Mus musculus: one gene and its partner. Each later gene encodes a partner of the first gene's protein in a complex. Links are inferred from orthologs where the notes say so. Each region holds a gene or a part of one and is shown in the gene's direction. Other genes may lie near its edges.

What was found. Proteins that work in one complex are often made in the same cells at the same time.
Region 2: the proteins of G3bp1 (region 1) and Caprin1 are in contact, whole or in part, in a crystal structure (PDB 8TH7), measured with the Homo sapiens proteins. The link is inferred for Mus musculus from reciprocal best matches to the Homo sapiens genes G3BP1 and CAPRIN1. Residues at the interface, in NP_005745.1 of Homo sapiens: Glu4, Lys5, Pro6, Ser7, Leu10, Val11, Glu14, Phe15, Arg17, Gln18, Thr21, Leu22, Met29, His31, Arg32, Phe33, Tyr34, Gly35, Lys36, Gln58, Lys59, His62, Leu114, Glu117, Asn122, Lys123, Phe124, Tyr125; in NP_005889.3 of Homo sapiens: Met363, Gln365, Met366, Gln367, Gly368, Pro369, Tyr370, Asn371, Phe372, Ile373, Gln374, Asp375, Ser376, Met377, Leu378.

Annotation. Positions count from the first base shown.
Region 1 is NC_000077.6:55,493,734-55,497,379, forward strand, and holds part of G3bp1 (ras GTPase-activating protein-binding protein 1), read left to right. Parts: intron 1-1,519; coding exon 1,520-1,718; intron 1,719-2,410; coding exon 2,411-2,512; intron 2,513-3,646. UniProt on the Homo sapiens protein: Protein involved in various processes, such as stress granule formation and innate immunity. Plays an essential role in stress granule formation.
Region 2 is NC_000068.7:103,794,813-103,798,558, reverse strand, and holds the start of Caprin1 (caprin-1), read left to right. Parts: upstream 1-918; 5' UTR 919-1,096; intron 1,097-1,480; exon of another isoform or gene 1,481-1,618; coding exon 1,619-1,828; intron 1,829-3,746. UniProt on the Homo sapiens protein: mRNA-binding protein that acts as a regulator of mRNAs transport, translation and/or stability, and which is involved in neurogenesis, synaptic plasticity in neurons and cell proliferation and migration in multiple cell types.

The DNA of each region.
Region 1 (3,646 bases):
AGGGGATTGCTGTGAGTTTGAACGTTGCCTGCATGGGCTCAGCAACAAAACTATGGTAGTTTTCTGGGAAAATATTTTAATTGTGTTATTTCTTAATAACTAGCAATATGCAACTTTTACTTATTTTATAGGAGATACTATGGAAAGTGTTGAATGTGTATGGTTTAGGTTGCTAATTGTTTTGAAGACAGGTGCTCACCATGTAGCTGAGGCTAAGCCTGGAACATCTGTCTGAGTGTTCGAGATGCTGGGATTGTAGGCACGCACACATATATCAGAAGAGTTCATTTAACTAGAGTAATAAAATGTCGAAGCCATAAGCTGAGTAATAATGAATTTATAGTCCAGCCCTGCAGCTCAGAGGAAGCGGCGTGGCATAGGATGACCTGAGTTAGGTTCCTGGAACCCCGTGTTAGAAAGAGAGAATTGACCTTGAGGATCTTTTCTGCCCTCCACGTGTGTGCCGTGAATTTCAGGCTGTCCTGAGGGCTGGAGAGACTGCTCAGCTGTGATAGGCACTGGCTGCTTTTGCAGAAGATTTGAGTTTAGTTCTCACCACTCACATGGTACCTTAGTACTTCTTTAACTCGAGTTGCAGGAATCATGTTTTTGGTGCACTGTATACTCTTAAAAACATGTATACACTTAAAAACATGTAGACATATAAAAATACTATTTTTAAGAGGACAGTTTTGGCCTACATGACAAAAACCCTTGTTTAAAATTTTCTCATGACCTCAAATAATGAGTGTGATGTTGTCTTAGTTTTTTATGTTCCTGATAGGCCACTGAGCCACGATTGTTCCAGATGTCAGTGCTCAGTGTTCAATCAAGTGTTTATCAAGGTGTGGTCAAACCTGTTCATGCTAGGCTGAGAGTGAAGATGTGTTTTACGGAAGACCTACTTACTGAGGTCAGGTATCAGGAGGGAGAACAAGGCCAGGGACAGCGTTCCTTGGCAGCTGGTATGGGAATATAACCACTGTTCTTGGTCATAACTGATGTCTTCTCTTCCAGAACTCCTGGTGCATGGAGTTTGTTAAAGATTGATTTATCTACGTGTTATATGTATGTGGGTGTTCTGTGTGCATGTGCTTCTGCACATCAGAAAAGGGCATTGGATCACATAGGCAGTCAGGACCCCAGAAAGAAAGATCTTAGCCACTAAGCCACTTCTCCAGTCCCCTTGTGTATTTCTATGGGGCTTGTGTGTGGTTAAAGCCACAGATGATGACATTTACTATATTTTGAGACTGACTTGCCTTACTTGGCTTGCTGGGCCTGTGCTAGGCCTCAGAGAGTTTGATCTTTCTCTAGCCCATTCAATACAAGGGTTTTGTGATACATATATTAATAAGCTAATTAACATTAACTGAAAACCACTTGATTCTGTTTTGATCATTATATTTATCAGAATTTAGCCATCAACCTCTTGTCCTGAGACTCTCTGGAGTCATTAGATGGCTCAGAGTATCTGGGTGAGTCCCAGAGACAGGTCAAATTTTCCATTCCATGACAGCAATGACTTGGAGGAGCATTTAGAGGAGCCTGTAGTGGAACCAGAACCGGAGCCAGAGCCGGAGCCGGAGCCGGAACCTGTGTCCGACATTCAAGAGGACAAGCCTGAGGCTGCATTGGAAGAAGCTGCTCCCGACGATGTGCAGAAGAGCACTTCCCCGGCCCCGGCTGATGTGGCCCCGGCACAGGAGGACTTGAGGGTATGGGTTGTGGCTTAGCACTGTATTGCTGTCTTATTACCTGTTTGTTGTTGCTATGCTAAAGGTCAGCCCCAGGTTGTGGGTGGGAGAGTATGTGCCAGGCATGCCCCAGGCTGGCCTCAAACTCCAGACACAGCTGAGGCTGATTTGATTCTCTGGCTCCTATTTCCTATTTGTTGGGATTATATTTCTGTGTTGCCTTGCCTGATTTATAAGGCACTCAGGACTAAGCCCAGGAGTTTGTGCAAAAAAGCTGTTGCTAACTGAGCCATATATTTACTCTCTGCTAGTTTATTTATTTGAGACATGATTTCTCTGTGTAGCCTTGGCTGTTCTGGAACTTGCTCTGTAGGCCAGGCTGGCCTTGAACTCAGAAATCCAGAAATCCACTTACCTCTGCCTTTCAAGTGCTGGGCTTAAAGGCAGCCCCCCCTGCTAGTTTATTTTTAATTTTTTTCTTCGTTATAATTACTTAGTTGACTTTTACGATGATCTAGCTATTTAGCCCAGGCTGGCTTATCTTGGTCCCCTAAGTATCTGGATTATCGGGTGTAATGATAGGCAGGGCTGCTTCTAAGGCAGTTTGTGAGGTGGCAGATGCTTGTAGACTCCTGTCTGTGAGTGATGTAGAGGTGATGCGGAGCAGAAGTTAATGGCTCTTTGTCGCTCTGACATGTCCTGTTCTTCTCTAGACGTTTTCTTGGGCATCTGTGACGAGTAAGAACCTTCCTCCCAGTGGGGCTGTTCCAGTGACGGGGACACCACCTCATGTGGTCAAAGTGCCAGCGTCACAGGTAAGGGTCTGAATCTAGGACTTTGGGCAGATTTAACTATGCTTTGGACACGTGACTTAACAGGCTAAGAGAATGGGAGGGAGCCTGGTACACAGGGAGCAGATAGGAGGTGTTTCCCTGGGGTGTGTTGATTCATTGAGGACGGCAGCGCTGTGGTGAACTGCACAGTAGTAGTTAGAGTAGCACCTGACAGAAAGCAGGGGCTTCCTGATGTGTGTGAAGGTTTCTTTCTATGAGTGTGTGCATGCAGGTATAAGCCAGAGGCCAACTGCTGACAGTTTTCCTTGGGAGCTGTGTACTTTGGTGTGGTTTTTTTTTTTTTTTTGAGACAAGGTCTCTGTTGACCTGGAGCTCTCAGGTTAGGGGAGGTTGGCTGGCCTGTAAAACTTGGCGCTGCCTAGTAGTCTCACCTCCTTGGAGCCAGAATTGCTGTTTTTCTAGGTTCATAGTTTTGTTTAAGAAAATTGACAAGATGTGGGAGAGACAGCTCGGCTGTTAGAAGGAGCATTTACTGCCCTCGCAGAGAGAGGACTGGGTTCAATTTCCCAGTGTCATATGATGGCTTATGACTGTCTGAAACTCCAGTCCTAGGGATCTCATGTCCTCTTCTGCCTTCAGACGATGCATGAGTTTGAGTGCACAGAGACTCATGGATCACATACTTTTTAAACATTTACTCTTTGATTGTATGGTTATGGATATTTGCCTGCAAATTTGTTTGCATCGTGTCTGTCTTCTATCCTTGGAGGCCAGAAAATGGCACTGCAGTTATAGTTGTAAGAAACCAGGTGGGTTCTGGGACTTGAACTTGGATCCTCAGGAAGACCTACCAGTGCTCCTACCCTACACACATTTATTTTAAGTTATATATGTATATTGTTATAAACATATAAGATATGTATATACACACAGATAAACATATATATACATATATACATAAACATATATGTATGTATATATATATATATTTTTAAGTTAAAGTGTGCAGGGAGCATGGTTGGATTAATGTCTCAATGGTTAAGATCTTTCCTGTTCTTGAAGAGGATCTGGGTTTAATTGCCAGCACCGACATGGTGGCTTACAACCATCTATAACTCCAGTTCCAGCAGATCCGATGCCGCCTTCTGGCTTCTT
Region 2 (3,746 bases), on another chromosome or scaffold:
GTGCCAGCCAGTGTTAGTCATTTTAATTCTTTGATAGAACCCTCTTCTAAATTTCCTTTTCATGGATTTTAAATTATAAATTGGTCATTTACTGCTCTCATACATCATGTTGCTGAATTTTCCACGGATCATATTCCTTTTAGTACCTTTCTCTAGATCACTCATTTTTTCCTTTTACTCGTTATCCACCCTCTTTGACCACCCCCCCGCCCCCCAAATAATTCTCCTGGACAAAAAAGTGCCCCCCTCGCACCCCCTCCCGGCATCTTGCATAGTCTTTAAAGTTTTGGGTAAAATCTTAAACAAATCGGGTAAAGATAAGTAATTCCTGATAGGGCGTACTTATCTATCTCAGGGTAGGAGAAGACGGGTTTTTAACATGACTGGGGTAATTAAGGAGATCAAAAAGCCATGAAGGATGTTCATTCTCCATGCCTAGGTTATTGTATAATTATTATGTGGCAAGTTGCCTTTTCTCAGACCTTTTAGGGTGAGTTTGCATGCTCTCCATACAGAAGGAATTCTAGAAGCTGGGATTGCACCACCCACCCCACGCACCCCTTACTTGCAGAAACCTTTGCCCCTCCAACCCCCACTCCCACCAAATAAGGGCTCTACAAGGGGCAGTCCTCAGCTCCAGAGCCTGAGGCTTGACACCCATTGTCCCCGTTAGGATGTCAAGAGATTTCGCCTGAAGGACCCCAGCTTAGGTTTCACTCAAAACTCAAGGATCTGGGATAACGGTCTCCGTGAGGGTACTTTCCAGATATGCAAAGGGACAGGAACCTGGCGCCGAGGACACGGCCCGACGGGAGGCGCGGTCCGGTGACCTTTTTTCGACAGGCATTCCAGTCGGGCAGCCTCACCGGCTTGAAGGCCCTCGCTCCCTATTGCTCCCGCCCCCCCTCGTTGCAGAGCGCTGGCTGGCTAAGTCCCTCCCGCGCCGGCTCTTGTCCCACTAGGAGCAGCTCAGAGCCGCGGGGACAGGGCGAAGCGGCCTGCGCCCACGGAGCGCACGTCTCTGTTCTCAACGCAGCACCACCCTTGCCCCCCTCGGCTGCCCACTCCAGACGTCCAGCGGCTCCGCGCGCGCACGGTGAGCGCCATCCCGGATCAAAGGCGCCGAAGGGGAAGAAGGCCGCTGTACCTGGGTGTCCTTTTTACCTTCGGAGCGGTCCGAGCGGCTGGGAGGGCTCGCTCAGGGCCTCCCCACCCCCACCCCCAACCCGGTCACTCCAAGTGCCCTTCTCCACCCCTGGCCCTGACCTTTGTCCCTCTCGTTCTCGCAAGGCAACGGGTGCCACTTGCCCCGATGGGGACCGTTGCCCTGGCGGTTGACGGCGGCCGTGCCAGGCCCCGCCCCCGGCGCGAGCTTGGTGCCCCGGGGAGGGGGGAGGGGCGGGCGGCCCGGCGCCCCGCTGGCGGGTCGCGCGCGTGCCCGTGGGCCCCTTCCTGCCGGCGGCGCGCGCCGCCCCCTCCCCCCACCGCGCGCGCGCGTAGCCGCCTGCCCGCCCGCCCGCTGCGCGTTTTGTCCCGCGTCTCTCCCCGTCCGTCTCCTGACTTGCTGGTCTTGTCCTTCCCTCCCGCTTTTTTCCTCTCCTCTCTTCTCGGTCTAAAGATGCCCTCGGCCACCAGCCACAGCGGAAGCGGCAGCAAATCGTCGGGACCGCCGCCGCCGTCCGGTTCCTCCGGGAGTGAGGCGGCGGCCGGGGCAGCTGCGCCGGCTTCTCAGCATCCGGCAACCGGCACCGGCGCCGTCCAGACCGAGGCCATGAAGCAGATTCTCGGCGTAATCGACAAGAAACTTCGGAACCTGGAGAAGAAAAAGGTGCGAGGAGTTAGTGGAGAGGGAGGGCTCGTGGCTCCAGCCCTACACCGGTCCCGGCGGTGGATGGTGCTCCTTGCCCAGAAAACGGGCGCCTCGGGGAGGTGCCTGTCACCTGACCCCAACGCGGCGCTGCCTCTAGGCCTCGGTTACTCACATCAGGCTGAGCGGGGCCTTTCCGCCTGGTGACCGGTTGCTTGGGTGGTGGGCCCGTTGCTGGGTATGCTCCCAAACTGAGGCCTGACTTTTGAAGGAGGCCAAGGGGAAGAAACAGTGTGCCCGGCCCGATTGCTCGTGGAGTTGAGCGGTCCATGCCTTGTAACTGTGGCGTTTGCCTTTGGTACCTAGGCTGGGGGCTGGTGGAATGGCTCTCTTCCCAAGAAAAGATATGTGTCTAGACCTGAACTAGGGTTGCAGTCCCGTCAAGTCCTAGTTAAGCGGGCCTTTGCTTGGGTACCCCCGCCCCCTTCCGATGGGCTCCCTACGTTTCCCCCTTTGTTTCGATTGTCTGGGTGCTTGGAACCTCACGCCCAGCCTAGTCACGAGGTAGTTTTTAAATGAGTGTTTTTTGTTGTTGTTTTTTGCCATGACCTTTTCTTTTTAATTTATTATTTTTTACCGCTTCAGCATTCTAAAGGGTCAGGGAGATTTCCTTGATCTTTCGGAGGTGGATCTAGTTTAGACTGGAGACTGCCTCTGGGTCTCTGGGCACATGGAGTGTCTAACATGGCGGCGGCTGCGGGAGAGGGAAGCGCTGTACAGGAGCTGCATTGTGAGCACAAAGCGAAAGCAGAGGGGGAGGGCAGAGACCAGGCAGCAGCCCCGCCTAGCCCCCCCTCCCAAAAAGTCGAGCCACACCCACACTGTTTTGGCTTTAATATTTAGCCATTCTGGACCATACTGTTAGATTACTTAAACCGGCTTTTTTGTTTTATGCGTTTAGTGTAGGACCGTATACCAACACAGTTTAGAGGAAGAGTCTGGGTAGAAGTAAATTTCTACCCTGATTAAGAAAAGTAGTGGAAAGGGACAAACATGGGGTGGTAGAGTGAAAATGGAGGCAATTTACCTGGAACTGTTATTCTAACTTGCCCTTTTACATTAAGTATAATGTAACTTTTGATAACTTATGCCTGCCGGGGCATATTTTAAAATTTTGAAAAATTCCCATGAAGATGTTTAGTTAGTTGTTTAACTAGTTAGAGGAGATTAGTGAGATAGGATATTGGCTAAAAATCTGAGCTGTAGGAGGTAAGTTGGAAAAATCCAGGCTATTTACATCTTAATCTTGTGGTTTATCTGCTGATTTCCCATTTTTAGTAGTGAGTTTGAAACATTCACCTTTGTACTTTTTCTGTTTCAGTGTTGAAGAGTGGCCATATTACTAAAACTTCCCAGACTTTATTTGAAATTGTGAATATACATGAACAAGATATGAAACTTTAGCTATTTTGATAAGAAATTTTAATGTATTAAATTATTAAATAGTGAAAAGAGGAAATATTAAAATAGTGAAAGCACTGTAAGCTACATTCAAATATGGAATTTCATGCCAGCATTTCCTTTTTTTTTCTTTTTTTTCTTTTTGAGACAGGGTTTCTCTGTGTACCCCTGGCTGTCCTGGAACTCACTCTGAAGACCAGGCTGGCGCCTCTAACTCAGAAATCCTCCTGCCTCTGCCTCCCAAGTGCTGGGACTAAAGGCTTGCGCCACCACACCCTGCTAGCATTTTCTGATACTTGCGTGTGTTTGGTACCCTGTGTGAAATTGAGTTTAACTTGGGTATCTTTAAATTTTCCTAATGCAATAAAGCAGTGTTGTTAGGCTGTTGCTCCAAACGGTTTAATTTTTGGAATTTCTGGGAACTCAGTTTCTTGTAGAATAGGATCCGACATGAGCTTTAATGATTTGAGGTATCAAT